Ovis aries: one gene and its partners. The protein of the gene in region 2 purifies or fractionates together with the protein of the main gene of each other region. This does not show direct contact. Links are inferred from orthologs where the notes say so. Each region holds a gene or a part of one and is shown on either strand. Other genes may lie near its edges.

Region 1 (3,101 bases), on a different chromosome or scaffold from region 2:
TACGAATGGTCCTTCCGTGCTAAAACACTGATTTTGCACAGGATACTCTCACAAAAGAAAGGACACAAGCCTCAAGAACTGTTTTCCTTGATCACGTGAATCTCTCTCAGACAAACCGTTGAGGTGGTGGAGATGTGGGCAGACTGGTGATACATTTCTTTCCCAGTCTCACGTGTCAGCGAGTGTTTGAAAGGAGCCAAAAATTGCTGATATTTTTTTTCCTGTGTAGATCTGAAAACCATGAGTGAGCGCCTCAAGAATAGGTACTACGTGTCTAAGAAGCTGTTCATGGCAGACTTGCAGCGAGTCTTTACTAATTGCAAGGAGTACAACCCCCCTGAAAGCGAGTACTACAGGTGCGCCAATGTCCTGGAGAAATTCTTCTTCAGTAAGATCAAGGAAGCTGGGCTAATTGACAAGTGACACTTCTTTCCTCTGCTTCTTAGAAACTCACCAAACAGTGTGCCTAAAGCATGGTTTAGTTTTACAAAGAGTTGGACGTAATGTATTGAAGATACTTGTAACAATTAGCACTTTTGAAAAACAAAAAACCTCTTAGCTTTTCAGATATGTATTTAAATTGAAGTCATAGAGCATTTCTATTTTACGGAATAGATTCTAGTCTATTTACTACTATCAATGTCAGTTTCCTACGGCATGTCCATTAGCTGAGTGTTCAGTGCTAGACGATCAGGGGGTTCCTCACAGCTTGTATATGAGGACGTTGCACACAGTACCAAGATCTGGGGGAATGCAGAAAATTTTGAGACCGTGAATGTTTCCTTTTTTTGCTAATGGAATGTGAGAGTTTACTTTTATTTTATTCTGAAGGACTTTAAAGGAAGGGATACGTGATAAAAAGCCCATAGAAGGTGAAGCGTGATGTGTGAAGGCTCATGGTGGACTTTATATACATATTTTTAAACACTCATCTAGACGAGGTGCTTTGAGCAGTTCTGAAAATGCGGTTCCAGAGAAGCAGCTCCTTTGGTTTCTAAAGAAGAAATTCTAAATAATGCAGACTTCTTTATAAGCGTCTGGGTTTTTGATAATTCTGTCTACCTGCAACAAACTTGTGAGTGCATGACCACTATCTTAATAATTATTTTCTCTACACGAGTCTGTAATACTATATTTGACTTTGCTTATGCAGGCCATAAGTTCTAAAAGGCAATTTCTTGGGCCACAAAGGCATCCATTTGAAAACACTTGAGATTGAATTAACATGCTTTAATTTAAAAAGATGTATAATCTATATCATGGATCAAATTTAGTGAATCCTCCACTTTTTTTTACAAATAAGATTTTTTCCCCCCTTTTCTACAATACACTCAGCCCAACTGATAATGTATTTATGGACACTTGTCCTTTGGCGTCTCCAGACTATATTCATTTTGGAGATGAATTCAGTTACCGCCAAGACCTTCTGTCAGTATTTCAATGCCTGCTTTGGTACAGGGTAATAATATCCCACTAAAATCCATCATACAGCCTTGTTAACCTGTCTTGGGATGCCGGCTTCATGCTGGGATTTATTTCCTAATTAACACTACACTGAGAAGTGGGACATCGCAACCCCAGCTCTGGGGGAACCAACTCATACAAAGCAAACAGTGGCCATCTTGATGGTCTCGACACTAATTTTTATGATACAAATTTATAAACTGATTTTTGTAAAAGGACTAGGTTTTAAAGGTGTCTCTAACTCAGTGTTTTCTATCAGCATAAACTAATCGAAATGATCATTTGATAGACATTGGACACAGTTGCCAGCGAATCTGCGTGAAGGGGAAAGCCTGCAGATGGCCATGCAGTTGGAAGGACGGTTTCAATGTGTAAGGGACACTCAGAATGCTCACAGCTGAGAAATGCCTCAACTTTTTAAAGAGACCACCTTGAGTGGCGTCTAGATTGCTAATGAAGAATGATACAGTTTGGATCAAGTATCTCGGACTGGTTTTAAACAAGTGCTTTGTCCTGGATCTGCTGAAGCACCTGGCCAGCTTGGTATCCTGTGAAACGTTTGTTATTTTCTGGGTAGACATTCTTATAGAGTATTGTCTTTAAAATCAGATTGTCTCTTCTATATTGAAAGCATTTCTATGTTTTCTAATTTAAAAATTAATATTTTCTTATAGATATTGTGCAATAAAGCTGAAGTAGGATGTGTGGTTTTTGCAAATGCTTTAACAGCGGATAAAATTTTACATTTGTAAAATTAATATATTGTATTGGTACCAAATAGTTTTAAATTATATTTTAAAAAGCTCTGTCTGCTGGTATGTTTTCTTCTGATGGATTTGTGTTTAACGGGGCAGATGTATGACCTGGTTGATGACTGACGCCGTCCTTCGTGCTTAGGATGTAAGTATTTGGAGGGGGGCGTTCAGAATTGTTGCATTTGTAGAAGTTTCGTAAAAATTCACAGCCCATTACTGGGAGCTTTTCAAGAGGAGAGACACTGTGTCTCTTGAGTAATCCACGGCATCTTGCTGGTTGTCACTTACCAAAAAAGAAAAGTCCAGCTAAAGAAGTGGTCTTGGTTTTAGAAGCAGCCACCTCATGGCCCAGTTTTTCCTGCTTTGCATCTGTGAGATAGATGAATCAGGAGACACCCCTCCCCCCAAAAAAATACAACTGATTTTTAGACACCTCCGATACATTTCTAATGTTATTCACAGTGCTGAAAAAACTATATCCTCCTGGGGTGTGAGTATCCACCACAGAGCATCATTCTTCCTTTCTGAATTCTGAGCCAGCTCAGCAGTCGAAGGAATGAGGCAGGCAACAGCCAGAATGTCTTTATTAGAACTAGAACGCGTATCGGAGAGGGTGACGTATGTATCGGAGAGGGTGACTTCCGCATCTGCAGGAGATGGGCTAATACTGAACCTCGGGCCGTGGCTGACTCACCAGCGGCTCCGCTCCCCGTCCTGTCCCCCGCGGGGCAGGGCCTTTCCCCTTGAGCCCTGTGCTTGGCCCAGGCAGCGATGCCCTCCACAGCAGGCCCGCTCTGAGGACGCACAGGAGAGGAAGGAGCGGCCAGCCCAGGCCAGGCCCTCGTCTACGCGCGTCTGAGGGGAGCTGCTCCTGGAGGGGAA
Region 2 (4,405 bases):
CCCATCAAAAGACATGCCCCTCTCCAGCCTCTAAAAATGACTCTTGTCCCAAGAATATGAATAAGGCTCCATCTGCCAGACTGCACTAAATACAGATTTTATATGCATTACAGAAACACCTGTATAAAAAAGCTGCTACAAAAAACGAGGCCTCAGAAGTCCTAAAGTACAAAACCAAACAAGAATAAGGAGTGCTTTCGGACCTTTAAAAAAGCCACAGTTGAAAATATCTGCAAAATAACTTCTTTGCAGGTCTTTGATCAGGTTATGCAGCTGAACTCTTCTGTCACTCAGATTTTCCCTCAATGTGAAGTAACAAGATTTCAGCAACACGTTTGAGGTATTTACAGTATGAAAATGAAAAGGGGACCTTTTGCCATCTTGAAGTAGAAACCACCTTTGTTCTTACTAAAGAGAATTTCTGCTGAAATATACAAAACTATCCCCAAATTCCTACTTAAGAGTTAAAGCACATACCAAGCCTGACAAGCCACAAACAACAGGAAATTACTCTGCACAGTTTCTTGCAAACTATTATTTCATGAACCTTACAGATGTGTGTGCAGAGATTTGACCATTTATGACTAGATACAGGTAAGTTACAACTTTAAAAAGCCAAACTTTGCTGAACACTTAGAATGTGAAATCACTAGAAGGTATAGCTACAAAGTATAAAAACCAAGTTCTAACAGCACTTTCATACTAAAAAAAAAAAAGCCCAGAATGGATGTTTCCGAACACCTTACATTAATTAAAATAGACCAATGAACTACTTCAAACTCAACTTTAACATTAAGGGTTTAAGTGGGCACTCATCTTAGAAATGCCAATAGATTTGAACTGTTCTTATTTACTACAACAACTAATTTTACAGCAGAAAAAAAACTTAAGAAACTTTAAAAATAAAATCAGTGTTGGTCTCTGACTTTGATATAAATGTTTGCTAAATGAACTTCTGGTGGAGAAAATTCTATCAATATCTTGTATGGTACTTTTTTTTAAGGCAAATAAAAAAACATCTTCAAACTATGACACATTTATGAGGCCCACTTTACATTATTTCTTTCATCTCTAGAATATTTGCTTCATTTACTTGTTCACAACTTCCCAAATTTAACTATTTACCTTACACACCCCCTAACCCTAACTTTTTTAAGGGATCAAAACTAGAACAGCTAATGTATTATCAAAATAATAGAGTGTATTATCTATTTGTCTCAAGGAAAGCACCCTTACAATCAGTGGTGAAGGTTCAATTCATATGAAACCAGAAGATGGAATTTTTGAAAAGATGCAATTACTCCAAGCAAGTTCGCGAGATCATTTATTTATTCACAACAAATTTAGCTGTGTCGTGCTAAAACACCACAATTTAGGAAACCCCAAACTGTAACAAACATGACAAGACTGATGGAAAAATGCTACCTCATTTTCGTTTTACCTGGAAACGTCTCTTTTTAAATAAAGGGTTAGTTGACAACAAACCGGCAGTATTTAGCTTTTTTAAGGGTCAAGAGGAAGGAATAACAAAACCAACCTAACTACTGTTTTTTTCTTTTGTTCAGGATCAAAAGGAAACCATTAACCACGAAAGGATTAAGTAAGTAGAAAACAAAAGTACTCAATCTAAGGGCAGTATTCCCCAGGAGAGAAGAAAACAATTAAAGCTGCAGGATTTGAAAACCAAGTTTGAAATACGTTGAAATCAATTAGCTTGCTCTCTAAAGGCGTGTGATTAAAAAAAAAAAACTAAAACTAATAGGCTCCGCTCACAAGAGCAACTTTCACAAGCTAGTGGAGAAGTTATGTGGACGGAGTACCAGCAGTGTGCGTGTTTGTGTGAGAGCACACGCTCGCGATTCTGAACCCCGAGACCAGAATGGTTAACAAAGGTTACAGCACCAGGGAAGTGGGGGGGGGGGGAGTGGAAGCAAAGTCTCGCATGCTCCTAACTCGGGCTTCCCAACAAGTCCCCGAAACCAGAGCCTCGTCCCTGCGGGATTTGAAAATCACCACCACAAACTACCGAGGGTGACCGCCACGGAGGAGGAGGGGACGGGCCGGGCCACACAGCCGGCCCCCGCCCCGGGCCGCGCGCGCGGGCGGGCGGGCGAGCGGGCGGGTGGCTCCCAGCGCCGACCCCCGTCCCCCCGGCCGCCCCGCCCCGCACTCCCGCACCCCGCGAGCCGCCAGGCGCCTCGCCACACCCCGGCCCCTCGGCCCGGCCAGGTGACGCGGCCGGCCCGCCTCACCGACCCCGAGCCCCACAGAGACACACCCCGGCCCCGAGGCCCCGCCGGGCGCCGCGGCGTTACCTGGACCGAGGCTCCGGGTCCCGCCCCGTCAAGAGTCCGGGGGGGTCCGGGACCTTTGTTCCTTCCTCTTCCGAAAGGGATGGAGGGGCCGGGAGGGGAGAGGGGAATGGGCCGACTGGAGGCGGAACTGAAAACACTCTGGCGGCCGCCCCGCCCCCCCAGCCGGAGCCCGGCCGGCGGCCCCGGCGCGCGGGGAGGGGACGGGAGAGGGGGCGGCGCGGGCCCGGCCGCCGCCCGCGGGGAGGAGGGGATGGGGACGCGCGTCCCGCCGCCGCCACCGCCGCCCCTCCTCCCCTCGGGCGCGCGCCCGCCCGCCTCGCCCCCACCCGGGCGGCCCCCGACGGCCGAGCCGTCCTCCCCCGCCGCGCCCGCCGGCCCCACCTCCGCTTCCGCCCTGCGCCCTTCGCCGCCGGCCGCAGCGGCGCGGCGCACCCACCTCCGGGCGGCTCGCTCGGCGCTCGCTGGCTGGTGGCTGGGAGCTGCTCCTCCGCCGCCGCCGCCGCCGCCGCCGCCGCGGCCGCGCGGTAGCCCCGCCTCCCACCCCGGGCCGCGAGCCCCGCCGATTCGCCGGCGCAGCCCCGGGGGGCTGGCACCCTGCCGCCCGCTGATTGGCGCCCCCGGACGCCCGTTAGGGGCGCGAGGTACGCTGGCCGAGCGCGCGGCCTTGGGGGCGCGCGCGGAAGACCCGGGCAGCGAAGAAAGAGAAGGGGTTAGGCCCGAGCGCCCGTGTTAGGGCCAGGGCGCGAGCTGTGGGCTCTGAGAGGCGCGGGCCGCTACCTCTCCCCACCTCCTTTCCCTCCGGCCTCCCCGCCCTCCCGGCCGGACCGGCGGCGCACGCAGCCAATCAGCGCGCTGGCTGCTCGGGGTGTGAGCCGCGCGTCGGGGGCCTCGAATCGGAAGGGAGACGTCGCTCTCTGATTGGTCCCGCCTCCCCCGTAGAGCGTGAGGCGAGGCGCGGCCGGGCGGGCGGCGGAGGACTTAGGCGGGGTGGGATGCCCGCGGTTTCGGTTGGCTTCTTCTCTGGCGCGCTCGCACGGGAAACTCTGGGAAAGGGAGTGGGGGGCGGGGAGGGGAGGCGCGTAACCTGCCGTGAGGGCGACCACCTTTCCGTCCTGATCGCGGCTGGTCCTCCGTCCCCGTCTCTGGCCGGCACCACTGGGTGGGGCCTGTCGGAAGCCGCCGCCCGGCCCACCTTCTCTGTAGTCAAGCCTGGAGTGGAGGCGTGCTTATCCTCGGGGTGGGAGGCCCCGACGGTGGGCGAGCTAAGGGGCCGAAGAGGGGTGTGCCAAAGCCTGCGTCCTGGACCCACGCGTGGGGCACCCTGTGCGAATGAGTGGGCGCGGCCCTCGTGGTGGTAAACGGGGGCGGGGTCCGAGATGTAAATAAGCCCGGGGCCGAGCTCTTTGCTTGGGCTGTAGGGTCTGGTGGGGAGGCGGGGGCGGGGGGGGGGGGGGTGGTCACAGGTATTTTTGTTGAACGGAAACTTGGTCCTGTCTTCGTGAAAAAATGGTGCTCGTTTTGCGTGTTCTGAATGCTCCTTGTGAAGTCTAGAACGCAAGTGCCTGGCACGATATCCCACAATTGCTGAGTTATTTGCCCCGTTCTTCATTTCTGCACTGCTCAGGCGCTGTTCTTAGACCCCATCCTCGCACGTCTGCACTGCAAAGCCTCTAAGCTGCTAGAAACTTTGGTCGCCTTTTCCTTGCAGACCCCGAGCCTCTGCCTGAAATCTTGAACCCAGCCAGTCATATTAAGCGATTATCAAGCATGTACGATGTTAGGCAGAGAACACCATAGAACTTCAAGTTGAGAAGAAATTCGGGTCTCACATAGGTCGTTGGTGGCAGAGATTAGACCTGTAACATGGTTTTCTTGGTTCTTGTCTGGCACTCACATGTACACTACTTCGTGAATTTAACAGAGGACTCGAGGCAGAGCAGCACTGGCAATACAAATCAGCAAGCAGGAAGTACCAGATGACCATTTCAAATAGTAAGGCTTTCTGAAATACATTCTTTTCAGAAATGAAGGCTTCTCTTAGGAGGATACCTAATGCTGAACCTGGAGAGAGATTTGGTCATCCTCTGAGT
Region 3 (3,913 bases), on a different chromosome or scaffold from region 2:
CCCCGTTGCTTTTGTACCGTTGTGCACATGTCAACATAACAAGTAAGACAGTAATGTCCCAGTGTTATTATTTTGATCTCTCAGTTTCTGTGAAGGGGTCTGGTGCTCTGTGAGTTTCCAGACCACACTTAGGGATCCTTTGGGCCTAGGGTGTCGCACGTATCTGTTTTGCTCTAATTTGATTTTGTGAATTGTTCCAACAGTCATGGTTCATGAAAAATTTTAATGGTGTATTAACTTTTCTGTTTTCATTTTACCAGCCTCTTCTACTTTCCTTATTCTCTCTTCTCAGTCTCTTTTTCTCTGTGTCTGTCTATATTCAAAAAGATTGGTTCCTTTTGCGTTTTTACCACTATTTTCATTTGTTCTTGTCTGTCCTTTCAGTGTCATTGGTATGCAGAGAGCTTCTTTCCTGAACTCCTTTTTCTTTAATTCAGGGCTGTCTTGTCTAGTCATATCTGCTTGTGGGTATTGATTTTACCGTTCTCAGTCCTTGTGGGGAAATGTATGGGAAATGCTTTTGTATTGCTCATATAGAATCTGTGGGCTCTGGGAAGAGAGGCAATTGTGCAGTACTGCCTGAAACAGCATTCTCCTATCGGTTCTTTTCCTTGCTGTACATTAATACTCAGGAGTTTTCTTCTTTGTGTCCAACTCTTTGCAACCCCATGGGCTGCAGCACACCAGACCTCTCACTATCTCCTGGAGTTTGCCCAAGTTCATGTCCATCGCATCGGTAATACCATCCAGCCATCTGGACCTCTGGTGCCCTCTTCTCCTCCTGCCCTGAATCTGTCCCTGTATCGGGGACTTTTCCATTGAGTCGGCTGTTCGCATCAGATGACCAAAGTACTGGAGCTTCAACTTCAGCATCAGTCCTTCCAATGAGTATTCAGGGTTGATTTCCCGTAAGATTGACTGGTTAAGATTAGTGGATAGTAAATAAAGAGTGAGGTCAGAATGGCTGAGCTCCTGTTTACCCTCAACATATCCCACAAAGCCACAGATCTCCACACAATAGTGTTTTCTCTCCTGCAGCTGGAGGCTTTGCAACCGGTTGATTTTCCTTTTAAACATGCTGTTGAACCAACAGATGTCTGCACTTACCCAGAGGAATATAAAAGTCTTCCCAACAGCATTGTTGACTATTCACACCTTCTGTTTTTATCGTTTATTTATCGATAATTAATAGCTTAAGAACATGAAGTCAGAGGAAAATTTTTTAATCGATTTATAACCAAAAACTTCATCAATTTCACCGACAAACACATCTGGAAGACTCGTTAGAGTATATTATTGTCCATTCTCCCTCCCCCAAATCAGACCATTTTATCAGACATGCATATCACATAGGCTACTTAACCAGGTATCTTCCTGTGTAATTTTATATTACACTTCAGCTTCCAGTTGTCCTGAAGAAAGGCCTTTTAAAAAATTATGGGGTGTTTTCGTCTACACTCCTCAGCTTTCAGGATCTTACCGACCAGGGATTGCACCTTTGCCCCTCTCAGTAGAGTCCTAACCACTGTACTGCCAGGGAATTCCCCAGATTTTTTCATTTTTCTTTTAATGCTTGGAGTCATGGAAAGTGAGATTCCTTTCCTAATTTAGTTTGGCTACCTGTGATTAAATTCAGCACATTTTATTTGGTACTGTGTTTCAGGCACTGTGGCAGACAGATTGAGATATAGTGTCTACAGTAATTGAGTTCAGTAATAGTCTACTATGATAGAAACTGATTGAAACACGATTAGAGGTATGACGAGACACGTACAGAGGAGTGGCTCTGTAGCTGGCCTGGGTAGATAAGATATAATGGACAGCTTCCTGGAGTAGGGTGCTAGTATTGGTTCTGGTCCATGATATTTCTAGTACAGAACAAACTGTGCATACACACAATACTTAGGATGTGGGATCTGGGTATTCCCGGAACAGTAAAGAATGATGGTGAAGTGGAAGAATTAGCAGATCCCTGTCGTGTTTGACCTTAATTCCATAACATAATGATGAGAACTGAAATAGTTTTAGGCAGGCAAGCGACAGTCTCCTGTGTCACACGTCCAGCAACAGGAAGAAGGATGGATTGAAGGGTAGAGACAGGCAAGTCTAAGAATCCAGGTAAGCAGTGGTGAAGACCCCAGTGATGGCAGGAGGAGGTGTTGCGTAGTGTAAATGTCTGCTGATGACTTTTTTTCTGTATGTCACCCTTTTCCTTCGTGGAGGCCTGTCGCCATGTTGTTTTGAAAACCTCTCTTCATTCTGCCTCTCCTATGTAATGCTTCTGTTGGTGCTCAGGCTCAGAACTTCACTGCTTCTCAGCCTTGTGCTTTTCTGGATGCTGACGGTGGCTTGAATTCTGCATGTCAATTCCTTTGCTTTATTCTGAGAAAAAAACTTCCTGAACTTGCTTTACTTTTCTCTGGCTAAAGGAAAATGAACAAAGGAAAAAGCTTAAAAGTAAGCTCATCTGAAAAGGTTATGCTGGAAAGTATCAAGACAGTCTCTCCTGGATTTTGCTCAAACATGTCCTTTGAGTTGGTAATGCCAGCTAACCATCTCATCGTTTGTCATCCCCTTCTCCTGCTCTCAGTCTTTCCCAGCATCAGGATCTTTTCCAGTGAGTCGGCTGTCATATCAGGTGGCCAGAGTATTGGAGCTTCAGCTTCTGTCTGTCCAGTGGATATTCAGGGTTCATTTCCTTTAGGATTGACTGGTTTGATCTCTGTGCAGTCCAAGGGACTCTGAGGAGTCTTCTCCAGCACCATAATTCTTTGTAATATACACGCCTTTTACATTGTAACATGTATACTATCATGTAAGAATCGAATCGCCAGTCTATGTCCGACGCAGGATACAGCATGCTTGGGGCTGGTGCACGGTGATGACCTAGAGAGATGTTATGGGGAGGGAGGTGGGAGGGGGGTTCATGTTTGGGAACGCATGTACACCCGTGGTGGATTCATGTCAGTGTATGGCAAAACCAATACAGTATTGTAAAGTAAAATAAAGTAAAAATAAAAATTAAAAAAGAAAATAAAAAAATAAAATAAATCTCAAAAGAGAAAATATATATATACACGCCTTTTATTTGTTTTTCTTGACTGAGAATTTAACATAATAAGGAAAGCAATCAGATCTACCTGCTGTGAACAGTATAACTATTTTCATTACTGTTTTTAATTTAAAGCCCATCTAAAGAACAGTCGCAGGTTTCTGATGTCATTAAGTATTACTTCCTTGTTACCTGATAATTAAAGCTCCTGTTTTTTCCATCACAGGCTCTGGAGATGTATAAAGATGATTGGAACAAAGTGTCAGAGCACGTTGGAAGTCGCACTCAGGATGAATGCATCCTTCACTTCTTGAGGCTTCCCATTGAGGACCCATACCTTGAGAATTCTGATGCTTCCCTGGGGCCCCTGGCCTACCAGCCTGTCCCCTTCAGTCAGTCGGGAAACCCAGTCATGAGCACTGTTGCTTTTTTGGCATCTGTGGTGGATCCTCGTGTGGCATCTGCTGCAGCCAAAGCAGCTTTGGGTATGGACTTTCTTAAGCTGTCTCGCGAGTGTAACCATTTCAGAGCATGGTTTCATGCTTTCATGATAGTTTATCTCAGATTTAGGTGTTATCAGCTGTTACACTCATTGCAGTTTTATGTATTACCCCTTAAGGATAGTAGGTTATGTTTGCTAAATAAAGCAGTTAACATACAACATTTTTCAAACTATGAGCATTTTTTAAGAATTTAGAGGGACAAAACAGTGGTTTTTAATGGTATTTTGTGATTCATATGGATTTTTATACAATTGGTAAAAAGAGCTATTTAACATTCTTGGATTGCATGAATTCTAACTAAAACTTTCTCACACTATAGAATTCTTTCTTGACTTTCTGGTTGTTTCATCCTTACTGG
Region 4 (4,525 bases), on a different chromosome or scaffold from region 2:
GATGAGTGGTGTCACTGTTTTCACTTTACAGGTGAAGAAACAGAAGTGTAAACTTCTGTAAACTTGCCTGGCATCCCCCAGGTACTAAGGAGAGTCAGGTTTTCAACGCAGGTCTTTTTGGCTTCAGGCCAAGATATTAGCTGCTGCTTTATGCTCTAAGGGCCTCACCTTGGGCTTGGAAAGGCCCAAAGTGCTGGTGATACACACTCCATAGAAGCTAATATATTTTCAATTAAAAAAGAATATTTTTAAGGTGTCTAGTGTGTTGCAGAGGGTGGCCCCACACTAGATATTGGGTATTCTTCACTAGGGACTAAAATTGACAACACTGCGCCACTTAAATTGAGGTTAGGGAGACAGATACTAAAGGGGTTACCCAAGAAATGTGAAAGAAAAGGAGGTGGTGATCAAAGAGGGGGCAAGGCCAGGGGAGGTGATGAGTCAGCTGAGACCTGAAAAATGAGGGGGAAGGCCTGAGAGAAGCAGGGGTAGGGAGTCACAGGCTCCAGGACTTGGCCCTGGGAACCGTTTGTCCAGTTGTGGGGCTAGAAACAACGAATACAGACTCAAGAGATACTCTCAAAATTTAAGAGATGAAGCCTCCTAGTCTCTGGGCCTTCACACTTGGAACAAAGCTCTCTCTCTCTCACTGCTTTTATGTCTTGACTCAAATGTCTTCGCAGAGAGGCTTTCCCTAGCTGCCCCATTTAAAACTTCCCCGACCCTTCACGTGTCCATTTCAACACAGTGTATTTTACTTAAGTTTTCTTGCCTCGCGCCTGCCTCTCCCACTAAACCATGAGCGCCACAGAGGCTGAGATTTCTCTTCGGTACTACAGTACCTCAGTGTGGGGCAGGTCAATAGATTATCTGCTAAACTAATAGCCCTAGGTAAGTTGTGCGGAAAAGATAGCCACGGTCTTTGCGTAACAGGCTTTGCCGAACGGGCACCGCCATCATCCGAACATCGACCTGCACTTGGCCCAGGGGCCGGCTCTGCTCATCCCCGGCCCCAGCCTGTCCGCCTCCTGCCTTCATGCACGACCTTGGAAGCCTCACTTCTGAGTCTCAGGGGCCCTCGGCCACGCTTTCCCCGCAGACCTCTCCACCACCCACCCCATCCCCCAACCTCCCGCTGCCACCTCCACCTCCACCACCGCCGCAGTGCCGCCTGCTCTGCGCATGCTCGGCGGCTTTGAGACGCGCGGCGTGCGGGAACGGAGACCACCGCGCGCAGGCGCATGACCGTCCCACACAGAGTCGGGAGGCGCGTCGGGCGCTCTAGCTCTCTCTGGCCCCACCCACCTCTCCCAGACAACCCCGGCGAGACGCGCACGCGCCCTAGGAGCGGAAGGGCGGGCGGGCACGCGCACGAGGACGGGCCAGCAGCGGAAGCGAGTGGGAGTTCGTGGTGGGGGGAGGGGAGGTGGCGAGTGCGCGCGCAGCGGGGGCGCGGGCAGCGTGGGGGGGCGGCTGAGGCAGGCGGGCGCGCGCGCGAGGCTTACCCTCGCTCGGCGGCTGCGGCGGCTGCTTCTTTGTTTCGTGAGGAGAAGCGAGAAGCCCATTCTGCCCCCGGCCCCGCGTGGAGGGGCGGGGGCGGCGCCGGGAAGGCGACGGCGCCGGCGACTCCCGGTAAGGAACGTGGGTCGCGGGGGGAGCGCGGCGCGGGGCTTGGGAGGACGGTTTGAATGGAGCCGGGGCGCCGAGGGGGGAGGGGGCCGCCGGCGCCCGGAGCCGGGCCGGGGTACGGCGGCGCCCGAGGGTCAAGAAGCCTGACCGGCACCGCGCGCGCGGGGAAGGCCACAGGCAGCGAGGCCTCGGCGACTACAGTATCCGCGGGACGGCGGGGTGGGGGCCAGGGCCGCGTGGAGGCCGCGCGCCCCCCGCGCGCGCTCTCGCCGGGGTCGCTGGACAAAGCGCGTTGCCCCGTCGGCGGTCCAGGGGCCCACATCCCGGTGTCCGCCGGGGCTGCAACAATAGCCAGACGTCCGGGCTTTTCTGGTTACGTTCTAACGGGTCCGACTCGAATGTTGCCTTTTGGCGAGCCTGCAGTCGGAGCTCAGTAGGAAAAACCCCAGGTGTGTCCAGCGTCGCCCGGACACGAACATTAGCAGCCCCCCTGGGTTAGCCGACCTGAATGGTTATTTTTTTAAAAGTCACGTCGTTTTAGATTTTCAAGGAAAGGTAAATAACTCTGCTAACCCCTTGCAAGTAGTGACTTGAGAACGTTTGCCCTGAAGCCGGGGGTCGGCAGCAGTGGGGAAGGACGGAGAGAACTGTTTGCCGTTAAAAGCATTGTTTTAGTTTTGCGTCCTTACCCCTTTCTGCCAATCGATTTTCCAGATTAAGGTTTTTATTTAAAACGCGAATCTTTCAGGAGAAGGTATTTTGTGAAGGTCTTGAAGACACTAGTCTTGATATTTTCCCCCCCTAGTGAATCATTGGGGAAAGTAGGGAATAAGCAGTGAGAGCCACTTCCTAAGAATTTGAAACAAGTTTTCACTTTTAAATGACAGGCCTGATTCAAGTTTGACTCCTGGCTGTTGCTGGTCACTTCGCTGTGTGACAGGAGGCAAATAGCTTAATCTTTTGGAACTTCTCAGTGTCCTCATATGTGAAATGAGAATAATGGCACAGATGGAGCCGGTGAAAGCCTGTAAAATGGTTCCTGTCAAGAGGGAAGCACTATCGTTGTTGTTCAGTCCAGTCTCTTCCATTCTTGTTCAACACATACTTGTTGAGCCCCAGCTGGGTGTTTGGTAGTTGGAGGTTGGGTGCCCAGAGCAGCCTGTTCAGTCTTGTAGGGGAACAGGTGGTAAGTGTGGGAACAACTAGAGGCCTGTCATGTGTGAGGAGCACAGCAGATTGGTGCCAGTGGTGGGAACCAGAGATCAGGTAGCTGCATGGAAGAGGGGGCTTTTACTCAGGGTTAGGGAGGACCCCCAGGTTGTGTTGGACCACTTGGGACCAGTCATTGCTCCCCTCTGCTGCTTTTGCACATGGTCATCTTGATCCTTTCTTGTGTTAGGAGTTACTCCTGTTTGTAATTACACATCTCTTCTCCAAGGGCCATCAGAGCTGTCTGTGTAATCTCTTTTAGTGTACCCTGGCCCAGTGTGTAGTAGGCCCTTAGGGAACATTTGTGGATGAAGGAGGAGGGTACTCTTGAGGATTGAGTAGCCCTGTGTGTGAAGTGCTTGGCCCAGGACTTGAGGGCGAGTTGCAGACAATAAATATTAGTTGCTGGCGCTGTGTTTTGCTTTCTTTTTTAATTTTTTTCTAAAGCTTTCCAGGCCATTTTCCCCAAACCTCATTCCCTCAACAGTAAGGGTGTGGGGTAGTAGTTAATAGGAGGTGGTGTTATGGAGTGCTAGTTCTGGAATTAGACCTCCTGGATTCACAGTCAGCTCTAAATTCTAGTTTGACCTCAAGCAGGACACTTACCAGTAGGTCCCCCAACTTGAGAAACAGATAAGACAGTGGTGCCAGCTCAAAGAATTGTTGTGAGGGTTGGAAAGATAGTATGGGAAGTGGTTTAACACTCTCTAGAGTCTGGCATGTAATGAGCTCTCAATTTTTCGGAGGTGGTTTTGTTCATACGTATGTATTTGTAAATTAACTGTTCAGAAAACTGAAAACATGAGTCATTCTGTATCCCAGAAACCCCAGGTTTGATGTGCTGGTTATATACATTTTCCTAATTTTCTTTAAACTCAATACATATACGATTATGAAAATAATAAGTGTTCCTCCTCATGCCACTTGAAATCATTTGTGCCCAACCCTTCAGGGGGCTTCCCAGGTGGCGCAGTGGTAAAGAATCCCCCTGCCAATGCAAGAGACCTAGGAGACATGGATTCGGGACCTGGAGGAGGGCTTGGCAGCCCACTCCAGTGTTCTTGCTTGGAGAATCCCATTGACAGAGGAGCCTGGTGGGCTATAGTCCATGGGGTCACAGAGTCGGACGTGATTGAGCGCACACGCCAGCCCTTCAGGAGATGTTGATTTTGCAGGTGTTTTTTGGGGGGGTGTTCATCGTGGGGTGACCTCATCATAGCTTTGGTGCAGGGCAGTGCAGTGGTTCCAGACTTCCTGTCAGTGAAAAGCACTCCAACATAAACACGTATTTATTTTTTTAAAACACATAATTTATTTATACACCTTTGCCTCTCTTGTGGGTCCTCAAAACATTGGGAGGTAACCGTAGACCAGCTCTCCGTCCCCACTGTTTATCTGATGTGGGAGAGTGGGAGGGACTCTGTGTATTGGGTGAATATCCCTTGAGAACGTTCTGCCAGTGAAGAAACTGAGGTCCAGGCATATTTCACCAGGGCCTCTGGGGTTGAACATCCAAGTCTGACTCCTGGGTTGGCCAGTTTCCCTTTTGGTGCCTCCAAGACATGGGGTGAGTCCTCAGACATGGCGACTGGTTTTGGCCGGCTCATCAGGGCTGCCGTGGCTCGGAGGGCATTCAGATTGACCCTAGACAGAGCACAACGCCCATGGCGCCCCCTGGAGTTGTGCG
Region 5 (4,685 bases), on a different chromosome or scaffold from region 2:
GTGGGTGGGAAAACACAAAATACTGGAATCGAGGGTTTGCAGTAGCAGGATGAGAGATCTCTAGCTGGATACAGAAATGGCCCTAATCATAAGCCTCAGGTACTGCTCTAAGCACTGAATACACATGGGAAATCTTGGAAACCCCTTGTGGGGATGGTTGAAGAAGGTTAGCTTGGCAGCAGCCTACAGAAAAGCCTAGGTGAGAGAAACTCTGGAAAGCAAACGCATTTGAGGGATAATAGGCAGGACTAAACCTGACAGCTGCATGTGAAGAAAGGAAGATACATTCAAGAGGCATTAATGTAAAGAATAGTTGGGCTTGGGCATGTTTTCGAAGAAAAAGTTACAAAATGACAGGAAGCTAAAGCATGGGAAATCTATGTAAACATAATGGTACTAAACTGTGTACCAAGGACAAGGGACCAATCTCCCCAAAGAAATCTATGTTGGACAGAGCAGAAGGTGGGCAGAAAAATATAAAACTGATACTCAGACAATAAGGAACAAATGCAGACTCTTAAAAATGAAGGTCAAATTATTAAAAAAAAAAAAAAAAAAAGGAGTGTATTTATTTGGCTGCACTGGGTCTTAGCTGCATCTTGTGGGATCTAGCTCCCTGACCAGGGATCAAACCCCAGGCCCCTGCATTGGGAGCTCGGAGTCCCAGCCACTGGACCACCAGGGAAGTCCCTCAATTTATAAATTTTAAAGAGCATTTGAGCATCTTCAGAAGGTATGAAAGGATGAATGGAAACATCAACGTCACCTAGGAGAGCAGGCAGACCAGTTGAGACTTAAGGATAATAGTGCCTGGATCAGCTTTGTATTGAATGCATGCCAGAGTAGTCTGTAAGCTCCTCCAGGGCATGAACTGGGCAATGCTTTGTGTATATAGTAAGCTCAATTCTGTTATTTGAATACATGAACACATTCTGTGCTAAGCTACGTGGAAAAGATAGAACTATGCTATCTGAGTTAATTAGTGGTGTGGAAATGTTACTTGATGCATAATTATACTGATTCTCCTACCTATCCACCTATCTATCTTGCCCCCCTTCTCAGGCAATGTCAAAAATCTGTTTCCTCAAAGGTAGGCCTAGCCTGAAGGGACTATAAGAATGTACTCGAAGGGAATTTCCTGGCAGTCCAGTGGTTAGGACTCCACGCTTCTACTGCAGGGGGAACTAAGATCCTGCATGCCATGCAGTGTGGCCAAAAAAAAAAAAAAGTACTTGGAGTCAGAAAGAAGCCAAATTGGTTTTCTAATTTTGAGGACAAAAATCTAAAAACGAATATGGGCAATGCCAGACAGGTATATATATTAAAGTGTATAGGTTTTGGAACCCCTGAAACCTTTGCTGCAAATCTTAAATCCAGCTTTTAGCAACTGAGTACTTATCCTCTTCACACCTGTTTTCTCTTCTGTAAAATGGGGCAAACGCCACCAGCCCTCAGGGTTTAGTTGTGAGGATCAGATAATGTACTTTGGTGTACTTTATGCCTCTGTATCATAATAAGCTCTTAATAGACAATAGCTATTAATAATAACTGGCACCCTAAGTCTTGAAATGTTTTTAAAACACTGTGTTCAATTAGAGAAATAAAAATGTATTCACTTTATTTTAGTTGCTTTCACTAAGGCTCTACATCTCAGTTTTTAGTAGTACAGTTTGAATGCTAACAAAGCTTTTCACTCCCCCTTCCATTGGGTAGGTGATGACCACATACCCCATCCTGATTTAATATTTTGGAAAACATAACACTGTCCCTCGAAACCAGCCTCACAGACGACCGATTCAAACTACTGTCACTCAAGAGATGGAACCTCTCTATCGATGTTCCTTCGAGGAAATAAAATCGTTTGATCAATTCAGAGTCACTTCCATTCAAACATTCCAAACCCCGCAGAGTGAGCAAACGTTCAAGTTTCTACTACCAAAACAATCCGCAGCCTTCTGGTGAGTGGATTTCACTTCTGCGTTCCCCAGACGCACGAAAGAAACATTCCACACATCTTAGTGCCTCCTTGTCCTCACACAAAGCTTCGCAGCAGCTCCTCTTCCAAAGCCACCCCCGGCTGGAGAAGCAGCCCCACTCGGCCGGGTCAAGCCGATGTCAAAGGCCAGGCAGGCCTCGCTGACCCCAAGGGTCTCTGCCACACACATCCCCTCCCATTGCTGGGGGAGGCCTGGAGGCTCAGAGCGCACACCCCGCCCTGGAAGCTTCCTCCGACCCCCTAACCCCGCCAGGGCCCCCGATGCCTGGAGGACCAACTCGATCAGGGTGCGGTGCCTGGGACAACGCCACGCAGCGCCTCGCGGGAACCGGGGAGCAGCCCCAGCTCTGCCGGTCTCGGCCAGTCTCACACCCTCCGCCCCTCGGCCCGCGCCCACTCGCTCCCCAGAGGGCAGCCCAGGACCCCGGACGGCTTCGCCCGACGCCACCTCCCCGTGAAGAGCCAGCAGCCGCGGCGGCTGCGGGCTGCCGGGCACGTTCACCCGCGCTCAGACCCACGCCTCTGCCCCGCCTCCGCTGCCCGCCCGCGACTCGCGAGGCGGCGGCCAGACCAGGAAAGCCCGGCCCGGGTGCCGCCACCTGCGCCCCCGGCCCCGCGCCATGTTTGAGAAAGAGAAGGAGTGAGCCAGAGGCCGGGCCCGGCCCGCGCACCCCGAAGCTTCCCGCCAGCCCTGCCGCGCCACTACTCACCCGTTGCCTCCGGGACCAGCGTGGCCGCCGCCGCCAGCATGAGGAGGAGCAGCCGGGGACGCGGAGTAGCGGCCACTGCCTCCATAGTCCCGCTGCCACTGCCTGTGGCCCGGCCCGGCCCGGCCGCCGCCTTGCCTCAACAAGCCTCGCCTCGCCCCACCTCCCCTGCCGCGGCGGCGGCCTTGCTTCGGCCCTTTGTAACTGCTCGGGGGCTGCCAGTCCATTGGCTGCAGGGCTCCCGCCGGCCCCGCCTCCGTGCCGTCTGCGAACTGCAGAGCCGGACCCAAGCCGAAACCCCGCCCACGTGCCCGCTGGGAAGCCAATCCGGAGCCGCAGGCGCCGGGCTGCTGGCCACGCCCCCAGACTCCCCCGGGGTCGAAGAGACAGACCCCTGCCCCAGTCGGAGCCGCTGGGAGCTAGAAGGCCGGGTGGGGGCAGGGTCTAGCGAGGCTGGCACAGCCTTACCTCCAGCCACAGAGGGCGAGGGCTAGACGATGGGTGTGTCTGGGTGTGAGTTGGTTTCGGAAAAAGGCTGTGGCAGCTCAAAGCTCTATTCTTCTAGCCTTTTTTCTTCTCATTTAAGATCTGGTACTGAGCCTGACCCCGATTCACAGTCCTGCACCGTCAATCCCCCACACATTCACCCAGATCCTTAGTATCGTCGGGCAGGCTTCAACTTCCCCTTTCCAGATCCACGCCTCAACTTTCAACACCATCCCCCCACCCCAAGATCCTACCTCAGTGCTTTTCAGATACGACCCAATCTCCTGTTTCCTCCCACTGTCATTGTCCACCCCAAACCTAGATTACCCTCACCCCGCAAAAAAAAAAAAAAAAACACACAACTAAAGAAAGTCTCCAAATCCTGGCCTCAGATCCCCCTCAGACACAGATCCCGAGCTCAGACACACCCCCGAATTGACTCCCGCCTCTCTCCGGAATTCAGAGCTGAGCCAGACAGGACTCCAAACCACACTCCTTTCCCCTTCTCCCTTCCTGATCCAGGTGAGAAAGGGAAGGTTCCCACCCCCATCCCCCAAGGAGAGGGATTCCCCCTTCTTAGCAGGCAGCACCCCGGGAGCGGAGGAGGAGCAGTCATTACTTTGAGCTGCCTCTGACACGCCTGCACAATAATTCTGAGGTGTCACTAGAAACCTAAATAAACTCAGCTACGTTTTCATTCTGAATTCCTAATTTACTGTGAGACGCTCCACCCACCTTTCCTCTGGGACGCCAAAATGAGCTCCAGATTTGTAATTCTTCCTGTCAGACTAGTCCTCTCTTCAGACACAAACACAGCCGAGGAGGCTGTTACATAGAACAGAACATTTTTCCACAGGACCTTTCAGGGAGAAAATTTTATTTTCTGTGTGATTCGAACTTGAAATTAAATAAAGCCTTGGTAGCAGGAATCAGAACCAGCCTCTACTATCGATTTGTAAATTGGTTTAGGGCTACCGGGGTGAGCATTTTACAAGCCTGTGAAGACCTCCCTCCTGAGCAGTAAAGGGGCAGGGCGCGGGTGTTGGAACTGAGATCTGAGATGGGCACTATTCCCCTTCTGGCTTGAACACCTTTTTGAGCAAGCCAGTTAACCTTTCTGAGCCTCCATTTCGTCATCTATAAAATGGAAATAATATCTATCCCCCAAGTTTTAGTGAAGAGACTATGTTAAGACTTGGGGGCTCCCCTTCTTCCCTCTGAAATTCTGCTGATAGACTTTCTCTCTGGACCCCTCACCTGCTCCTCTCCTCTGGGCAAGTAAGGAGCTGGTATACATACAAATATACATACACCAGACCACCTAACCAGGGATGTAGCTACTGCTGGAACCAAGGTCACAGCCTGCTCTCTGGCGCTGCCTGAAATCACCAGCAAGATGCTTTGTTCTTAGCTCCCTGCAGCAGGCAGAAGCCCAGAGAGTCTGTTCTGCCAGGGTCCAGCCCCAATCTGCTTTCTCAGTTCTGGTTTCTTCAGTG
Region 6 (3,913 bases), on a different chromosome or scaffold from region 2:
TGGATTTGCCTGTTCTAGGCATTTCATATAAAATGATTGTACAGCATGTGGCCTTCTGTTGCCTGGCTTCTTGCACTAAGGATGTTTTCTCAGTAGATGTTATAGCATGTATTAGCACTTCTTCCCTGTTTATGGCTTAGTAACTTTCTGTTGTGTGGATGGATAAGACCCTGTTTTGTTTATCCATTCATCAGCTGATGGACATTTGGATATGTCCACATTTGGCTGTTACGACTAATGCTGTTATGAACACTTAAGCACAAGTTTTAATATGAACATATGTATTTATTTCTCTTGGCTATATATTTAGGAGTGTAATTGATGGGTCATATGGTAACTCTATGTTTAATATCTTGAGGGACTGCCAAACTGTTTTTCAAAGCAACCATACCATTTTCATTTCTAGCAACGGTCTCTGAGGTTTCCAGTTCCTGCACATCTTTGCCAACAGTTGTCGTTGTTTGTCTTTTGAGGAGAGCCATCCTCGTGGTTGTAAAGTGATATCTCATAGTTTTGATTTGCAGTTCTCCAAGTTGACTGATGGTACTGAATATCTTTTCATGGTTTTTTTGGACACTGCAAATCTCTCTCTCCTTTTTAATATTTGTTTTACTTATTTGGCTGTGCCAGGTCTTAGTTGCGGCACATAGGTAGGATCTTTAGTTGCATGCGCATTCTCAGTTGCAGCATGTGGACTCTAGTCCTCTGACCAGCGATTGAATCCAGGTCCCCTGCATTAGGAGTGCAGAGTCTTAGCCACTGGACCACCAGGGAAGTCTGCATTGCAAATTTTTGGAGAAGTACCTGTTGAGATCCTTCGCCTATTTTTAAATTGGGTTGTCTCTTTATTACTGAGTTGTAAGAGTTACGTGTACATTCTGGGTACTAGAGCCTTACCAGATAGAGGATTTGCCATTGTGTCTGTTGTCTTCACTTTCTTGGTAGTGTCCTTTGAAACACAGAAGTTTTAAATTCAGATGAAGTCCAGTTTGTTGCTACTTTGATTGCTTACTTTAGGTGTCATGTCTAAGAAACGATTGCTTAATCCAGTTAAGAATTTTAGCTCTTAAGTTTAAGTCTGTGATCCATTTTTAATTAATTTTTATATAAGATGTAAAGTTCAATCTCAATCATATATTTTTAATTAATTTTTATATAAGATATGAAGTTCAACCTCAATCGTATATAGATACAGTTGTCCCAACATGGTTGAAAAAGCTACTGTTACTCTTTGAATTGTTTAGGCCCCCTTGTTAAAAACCAGTTGCCTGTAAAAGTATATGTTTATTTCTGGATTCACTCTTTATGTCCGTACCACACACGGTTTTGATTTCTGTAGCTTCATAACAAGCTTTGCTATTGGAGATTGTGAGTCCTCCAACTTTGTTTTTCTTTTTCAAGATTACTTTGGCTATCTTGGTTTCCTTTTATTTCCATGTGAGTTTTAGGATCAGTTTGCCAAATTCTGCCACATAGCCAGGTGAAATTTTGATAGGGTCTGCATTGAAAAAGTAGATCAGTTTGAGACTACCATTTATAACAAAAATAACACGACTGGGTGGCTTATTCTATAGACACTTACCCTTTCACTGTTTTAGAGGCTGGGAAGTCTTAAGATCAAGGCCCTAGTGGATTTGGTCTAGCAAGGGTTTGCCTCCTGGTTCATAGATGGCTGTCTTTTCATTATGTACCCAAATTGTGGGAGAGCTCTCTGGAGTCTCTTTTATAAGCGCATAAATCCCATCAAGGGGTCTCTACCCTTATGAGCTAATTATCTCCTAAAGGTTTCATTTCCTAATACCATCACTTTGGGGGTTAGGATTTCAGCATAGGAATTTTGGAGATCATGATACATCTTAATGATATTAAGTCTTCCAGTCCATGAACATAGGATTCCTTTCCATTTATTTAGGTCTTTTATTTCTTTCAATGATATTTTATAGTTTCTGTTGTATAAGTTTTATACTACTTTTGTTAAGTTTATTCCTAAGTATCTTTATTTTTTTATTTGGTTATAAATGAAATTGTTTTCTTAATTTCATTTATGGATCATTCTAGTGACTTTTGACAGAGTGGTATTTATACTTTGTTACTTCTTTTTTGCCTTTGAAGATCCATCAGTCTCGAATAATTCTACCAGCAAAAAGAAACCTGAGGCTGCCACTTGCAGCTTAGCCAGAGACACAAGCAAATCAGGAACTGACTGTGATGTTGCAGCTTCATCTCCATTTCTTGTCAAAGATGTCACTTGTGAGGACGATAAGGGAAAAATCATGGAAGAAGTAGTGAGAACTTACGTAAAACAACAGGAAAAACTGAACTCAGTTTTACAGAAGAAGCAACAACTTCAGATGGTAAAACTGTTATTTAAATGATAGTCCATTGTGAAAAAATACTTTAGCATATTCTTCAAGATAAGATGCTGTAAATGTTTTAATATTGTTCAGTTTTATACTTACAAGAAATATTAATATACTTTTAAATTTTTAGAGAAAATAGTTTTTAAGATAGCTACTTATGTATAGAATTGATATGACACCTCAGTTTTGTAATAGATACTTTCTGTCCTGTTTTTTTCTGAATTGAAAGGTTTAATGTGATAGAAATAAAGTAAAAATTATATTGTGACTCTTTAAATTACAGGAAGTTGAAATGTTGAGTAGTTCAAAAGCTATGAAGGAACTTACTGAAGAACAGCAGAATTTACAGAAAGAGCTTGAATCTTTGCAGAATGAACATGCTCAAAGAATGGAAGAATTTCATGTTGAACAGAAAGACTTAGAGAAAAAACTAGAGCAGGTAATGAAGCAAAAATGTACCTGTGACTCAAATTTAGAAAAAGATAAAGAGGCTGAATATGCAGCACAGGTAAGAATTACACAGTTTGTATAGTGTTGCCTTTTCAATGTGGAAATTGAAGCTGTTACTTTAATTTCATTAAAGAAATTACTTTTTGTTAACTTGTTTCATTTAGGCTAGACTTCAAAATAGATAATTCTGTTAAACACAATTTTATGCTGTATCATTCAAGATGATTGTTTGGATCTTAGTTGTTGCATTACTTTAAATTTTTATTGGATTTCTATAGTTTAGTTGTCCTAATTGCTAATCTCTAGCTATCTGAGTATCAATGTTATTTTAATGTAATACATGGGCTTTCAAATCAATGGCTTAACAAACATAAACTGTTGCCTACTATGTTCATAAGCCTTGGGGCAAAAGTGGATAGTAGCTCACAACTTGGGAAAGATGAACAAATAACTCCTAATCTGATCATGCTGTGGTAACAGGTATACCAGAGTATAAGGCATAATGAAAGTGTTCTAAGTGTTCAGTTCCCTGACCCTTTGTTTTGCCCTCATTTTAAGGTCATTTCAAAGTCAGATTAATAGTATTGGATATTCAAGAGATTATAATATGCATGAAATAGTTCATTTTTGCAAAAATGATTTGCAAGTAGGTCTTTGCCATGATGTGAGAAGTAATGGAAAACCAAAACTGAATGGAAAACTGACACAGTCTTCTAAATCACACAGCTGGCAGAGCTGAGACAGAGACTGGACCATGCTGAGGCTGATAGGCAAGAACTCCAAGACGAACTCAGACAGGAACGGGAGGCAAGGCAGAAGTTAGAGAAGATGATAAAAGAGCTAAAGCTGCAAATTTTGAAATCATCAAAGACTGCTAAAGAATAGAAACCTTCAAAGAAATCCATCTGTGTGTTCCCAACAGGGTTTATTTTTATTTGTTTGTTTACTTTGGTAAATGGATTCTGAACAATTTATCTGCATGAAATAACGGCATTCTATCCATTTGTAGATCAGAGAAAGTGAAGAGATTATATATTAGTATATAAATTTTTACATTTTCCAAATGAATGAAAATGTATGTTTCTTTGTACTTTTCCTTTCAA
Region 7 (3,913 bases), on a different chromosome or scaffold from region 2:
AGCTGCCGGGCAGGGACTGAGACCATTTTGTCAGTCCCCTGTCCTTACCAAGTGCTACTTGGAGATTCCCCTTGGGCCTGGCAGAGTATATAAATATCACAACCCAGAGAGCTCTGAAGCAGCTCTGCTTAGCGGGGTTGAGGACGCTGACCTTTGAGGGAGGTGGCTACTGGAGTAAGTGAGGTTGTGTCTCCACCACCACCACCAGGCACTGGAAATGTACAAAGATGACTGGAACAAAGTGTCAGAGCACGTGGGAAGCCGCACACAGGATGAATGCATCTTGCATTTTCTCCGGCTTCCCATCGAAGACCCGTACCTGGAGGACTCAGAGGCCTCCCTGGGCCCCCTGGCCTACCAGCCCATCCCCTTCAGCCAGTCAGGCAACCCCGTGATGAGCACCGTTGCCTTCTTGGCCTCTGTCGTCGACCCTCGAGTGGCCTCAGCTGCTGCGAAGTCAGCCCTAGGTAACGCGCAGGGCTCCCATCCCTCTTGGTTTGCATTTGAAAGGCTGGGTACTCTGACTGTGGAACCCCCTCAAGTTCACTGCCCTACTGGCCTTGTCTGCGGCTGGCATCAGCCCAGGCAACGGTCCAGCTCCACGCAGGCAGAGATGAAGAGCTGGGTTTGTGAGGGAGCTCTCACAGAGAGTGCCAGAACTGCCTACCTGCCTGCTCCCAGCCTCCCCCTCTCTGGGTCTTACAGAAGAGTTCTCCAAAATGAAGGAAGAGGTACCCACAGCTTTGGTGGAGGCCCACGTTAGGAAAGTGGAAGAAGCCGCCAAAGTGACAGGCAAGGCAGACCCAGCCTTTGGTCTGGAAAGCAGTGGCATCGCAGGGACCACCTCCGATGAGCCGGAGAGGATCGGTAAGGCTTGCCGTGTTCCCCAATTCCTCCCTTTTTACCAGCAGCCTCAGCCGCCTGGCCTCCCCATACCATCCCTGCCTCCACCTGACCTCAGAGCATGAGACGGATGGGGTGAGTTGGTGGGGTGTTCATTTTCCTCAGGGCTTTACTTTAGGTACCGTGGCTCCCCACTGGTCCTCTCAGTAAGATCTTGGCTAGAAGGGGCAGTTGGAAGAGTGTTGTAGACCAACTGTCAGACATCTCCTGTTTCCTCTTCCCCTGGACCCAGAGGAGAGCGGGACTGATGAGGCACGGGCGGAGGGCCAGGCCACAGAGGATAAGAAGGAACCCAAGGTACAGCGGGATTGACACGGGCTGGGAAGGCAAAGGGGTCCAGCGTGGACCAGGGAAGGGGAGCCGGCTCCACTGAGCTTGGGCAGGCGAGGGCTGGGCTTGGATGGGGCTCGCAGCCTGGATCCAGGCCCTCTCCCAGATAAGAGGTGTAAACTCAGCTCCTGGTCTGGGCCCGCTGTGTGCGAACCAGCACCCTGACACTCCCCTTTTTCCTTTCCCTGGGACTCCAGGAACCTCGAGAAGGAGTTGGGACTGTGGAGGAAGAAGCAAAGGAGAAGACCAGTGAGGCACCCAAGAAGGACGATGAGAAAGGGAAAGATGGCGACAGCGAGAAGGAGTCAGAAAAGAGTGACGGAGACCCGACAGGTGAGCCTCACGTGGTGGTTGGGGTTCAGAAAGGAAGCCAGGCTCTAGGGCTCACGACCCTTTTCCTGGCCCAGCGGATCCTGAGAAGGAGAAGGAGCCCAAGGAAGGGCAGGAGGAGGTGCTGAACGAAGTGGTGGAGTCAGAGGGGGAGAGGAAGACGAAGGTGGAGCGCGACATTGGCGAGGGCAACCTCTCCACCGCCGCCGCCGCCGCCCTGGCTGCTGCCGCCGTGAAGGCCAAGGTAAGGCCTCAGCCCCAGGGAAGGAGGTGCTGCTCCTCATCGCACGGTACCTGGAGGGAAGCCTGCCTTGTCATCCTTACCCAGTGCTGGCCTGTCTCCTGTCCCCTTTGGATCCTGAGAGGAACGCTTGGTCACCTCTTACCTCTTTTAAGCCTTTATCATTAGGCCTGTCTCGCAGTTTATTTATTTATTTGGCTGCACTGGGTCTCCGTTGCAGCATGTGGGCTTCTCTCGTTGCAGAGCGCAGGCTCCAGAGCGAGAGGGCTTCAGTAATTGCAGCTCACGGGCTCTGGTTATGGCAGTTGGGGCACGTGGGCTTAGTTGCCCCACGGCCTACGGGATCTTAATTCCCTGACCAGGGATCGAACCCACTTCCTCTGCGCTGGAAGGTGGATTCTTAACCACCAGACCACCAGGGAAGTCCTGATTGGGCCTGTTTCCACCCTCTCAATTATTTGACCTTTCCTTATCCTTTGATATCCTCTCTTTTTTCATGTTCTTTTAAAAACACCACTCAAGCCTGCGCTACTCTCTGGGTTGTGACCACAGCAAGTTCTGTCTTAAAGCCTGTCAGCCCCCACACCACCCTTCTCTGTTGCCCAGTGTCTTCAGCTGGGTCCTCGCACTGATGGCCACCCCACCCTTCCTTCCTTAGCACTTGGCTGCCGTTGAGGAGAGGAAGATCAAATCTCTGGTGGCCCTGCTGGTAGAGACCCAGATGAAAAAGTTGGAAATCAAACTCCGGCACTTTGAGGAGCTAGAGACGATCATGGACCGGGAGCGAGAAGCAGTGAGTCGAGTCCCCTGGCGGTTGGCGGGGCCCCACCTTGGCAGTGGGCTGGGCCGCAGTTTAGGGCAAGGAGAGCAGCAATACAGAGAACCTGAGGCTGACAGTATCACAGCAGAGCAGACCAGCCCAGACCAGGGCAGGAGGAGCCAGCCTGGGCGGTTAGGGACAAGTGACCCACAGGTACAGCCTGGAGACTGAGGTCCCACAGAATGTCAGCCCCAGGGTCAAGTTTGCCACATCTCCAGGTCCTTAAAGGGTGCTTAGTCCACGGTAGACTTGGCTGTGGAGTGATTGTTGAGTGATTAAACAGGTTTAAGGCATGATGAGAGGGTAAGGGCTTCAGAGCCAGGGGTTAAAGTTGGAAAGGGAACAGGATGGACATGGTGTCGACTCATTTTGATTCTTAGAAGATATAAAAGTAGAAGATAAGGACTCTGATCCTGAACTCCTCAATTGAAGATATCAGATATCCAATATGGAGACGTCAAAGTTGGCTAATGCTTCAAGCATCTGACAAATGAAAATTGAGAGATTTCCAATCAAGCATAAAAATCCTGAGTGAGAGCAGAATAAAGGCCAAAGTTCAGAGGCTAGTGAGGTGATCTGGGAGGGCTTCCTAAGAATTGTGAGTTTTTCTTCAGTTTTGAAGGAGGGAAAGAACATGATTTGACTAGAGGAACTTGGTTGGTTGGTGGGGTAGGGGTTGGTTTCCAGATGAAAGTAATGACAAATTCAAAGCTTTGGAGCTGAAAATGAACAAAGGCTACCACCAGATTAAGTCCACTTGTCCACTGCAGTGAGAAGCCATGTGGGCAGCCAGAAGACCTGGTGGGGGGAACTGGAGAGGGGAGGGGAGGCGAGAACAGCGGAAGCCAAGCACAAGGCTGAGGTTTGGTGTGGGGATCGCCAGAATGGGAGGCTGGGCTTGTCAGAAGACAAAGCAGGGGGCAAGGTGTGTGCCTTTGGGGTCTCCAGCCCCCGGGTGACAGCTCTCCGTCGGCCCGGGCAGCTGGAGTACCAGAGGCAGCAGCTCTTGGCCGACAGGCAAGCCTTCCACATGGAGCAGCTGAAGTACGCAGAGATGCGGGCCCGGCAGCAGCACTTCCAGCAGATGCACCAACAGCAGCAGCAGCCACCGCCAGCCCTGCCCCCAGGCTCCCAGCCTATCCCACCGCCAGGTGCTGCTGGGCCACCCACTGTCCACGGCTTGGCCATGGCTCCAGCCTCTGTGGCCCCGGCTCCTGCGGGCAGTGGGGCCCCTCCTGGAAGCTTGGGGCCCTCCGAACAGCTTGGGCAGGCAGGGTCAACTGTGGGGC

Evidence for each region.
Region 1: the proteins of SMAD2 (region 2) and KAT2B purify together in Homo sapiens (affinity purification with western blotting, with the first as the bait; 3 studies listed by BioGRID). This does not show direct contact. The link is inferred for Ovis aries from reciprocal best matches to the Homo sapiens genes SMAD2 and KAT2B.
Region 3: the proteins of SMAD2 (region 2) and SMARCC1 purify together in Homo sapiens (affinity purification with mass spectrometry; 3 studies listed by BioGRID, with this or other methods). This does not show direct contact. The link is inferred for Ovis aries from reciprocal best matches to the Homo sapiens genes SMAD2 and SMARCC1.
Region 4: the proteins of SMAD2 (region 2) and SMARCA4 purify together in Homo sapiens (affinity purification with mass spectrometry; 3 studies listed by BioGRID, with this or other methods). This does not show direct contact. The link is inferred for Ovis aries from reciprocal best matches to the Homo sapiens genes SMAD2 and SMARCA4.
Region 5: the proteins of SMAD2 (region 2) and TGFBR1 purify together in Homo sapiens (affinity purification with western blotting; 8 studies listed by BioGRID and IntAct, with this or other methods). This does not show direct contact. The link is inferred for Ovis aries from reciprocal best matches to the Homo sapiens genes SMAD2 and TGFBR1.
Region 6: the proteins of SMAD2 (region 2) and SKIL purify together in Homo sapiens (affinity purification with western blotting; 8 studies listed by BioGRID and IntAct, with this or other methods). This does not show direct contact. The link is inferred for Ovis aries from reciprocal best matches to the Homo sapiens genes SMAD2 and SKIL.
Region 7: the proteins of SMAD2 (region 2) and SMARCC2 purify together in Homo sapiens (affinity purification with mass spectrometry; 3 studies listed by BioGRID, with this or other methods). This does not show direct contact. The link is inferred for Ovis aries from reciprocal best matches to the Homo sapiens genes SMAD2 and SMARCC2.

What each region holds. Positions count from the first base shown.
Region 1 is NC_056054.1:278,383,417-278,386,517, forward strand, and holds the end of KAT2B (histone acetyltransferase KAT2B), read left to right. Parts: exon of another isoform or gene 1-229; coding exon 230-423; 3' UTR 424-831; coding exon of another isoform or gene 832-883; 3' UTR 884-2,270; downstream 2,271-3,101. UniProt on the Homo sapiens protein: Functions as a histone acetyltransferase (HAT) to promote transcriptional activation. Has significant histone acetyltransferase activity with core histones (H3 and H4), and also with nucleosome core particles.
Region 2 is NC_056076.1:47,913,584-47,917,988, forward strand, and holds the start of SMAD2 (mothers against decapentaplegic homolog 2), read right to left. Parts: upstream 2,855-4,405; 5' UTR 2,752-2,854; intron 2,456-2,751; exon of another isoform or gene 2,316-2,455; intron 1-2,315. UniProt on the Homo sapiens protein: Receptor-regulated SMAD (R-SMAD) that is an intracellular signal transducer and transcriptional modulator activated by TGF-beta (transforming growth factor) and activin type 1 receptor kinases.
Region 3 is NC_056072.1:52,034,085-52,037,997, forward strand, and holds part of SMARCC1 (SWI/SNF complex subunit SMARCC1), read left to right. Parts: intron 1-3,278; coding exon 3,279-3,537; intron 3,538-3,913. UniProt on the Homo sapiens protein: Involved in transcriptional activation and repression of select genes by chromatin remodeling (alteration of DNA-nucleosome topology).
Region 4 is NC_056058.1:13,255,496-13,260,020, forward strand, and holds the start of SMARCA4 (transcription activator BRG1), read left to right. Parts: upstream 1-1,343; 5' UTR 1,344-1,632; exon of another isoform or gene 1,633-1,704; intron 1,705-1,774; exon of another isoform or gene 1,775-1,829; intron 1,830-4,525. UniProt on the Homo sapiens protein: ATPase involved in transcriptional activation and repression of select genes by chromatin remodeling (alteration of DNA-nucleosome topology).
Region 5 is NC_056055.1:48,774,395-48,779,079, forward strand, and holds the start of TGFBR1 (TGF-beta receptor type-1), read right to left. Parts: upstream 2,879-4,685; 5' UTR 2,792-2,878; coding exon 2,707-2,791; intron 1-2,706. UniProt on the Homo sapiens protein: Transmembrane serine/threonine kinase forming with the TGF-beta type II serine/threonine kinase receptor, TGFBR2, the non-promiscuous receptor for the TGF-beta cytokines TGFB1, TGFB2 and TGFB3.
Region 6 is NC_056054.1:217,718,205-217,722,117, reverse strand, and holds part of SKIL (ski-like protein), read left to right. Parts: intron 1-2,112; coding exon 2,113-2,354; intron 2,355-2,643; coding exon 2,644-2,868; intron 2,869-3,536; coding exon 3,537-3,695; 3' UTR 3,696-3,913. UniProt on the Homo sapiens protein: May have regulatory role in cell division or differentiation in response to extracellular signals.
Region 7 is NC_056056.1:163,371,830-163,375,742, forward strand, and holds part of SMARCC2 (SWI/SNF complex subunit SMARCC2), read left to right. Parts: intron 1-208; coding exon 209-467; intron 468-705; coding exon 706-867; intron 868-1,135; coding exon 1,136-1,200; intron 1,201-1,430; coding exon 1,431-1,566; intron 1,567-1,640; coding exon 1,641-1,807; intron 1,808-2,462; coding exon 2,463-2,597; intron 2,598-3,606; coding exon 3,607-3,913. UniProt on the Homo sapiens protein: Involved in transcriptional activation and repression of select genes by chromatin remodeling (alteration of DNA-nucleosome topology).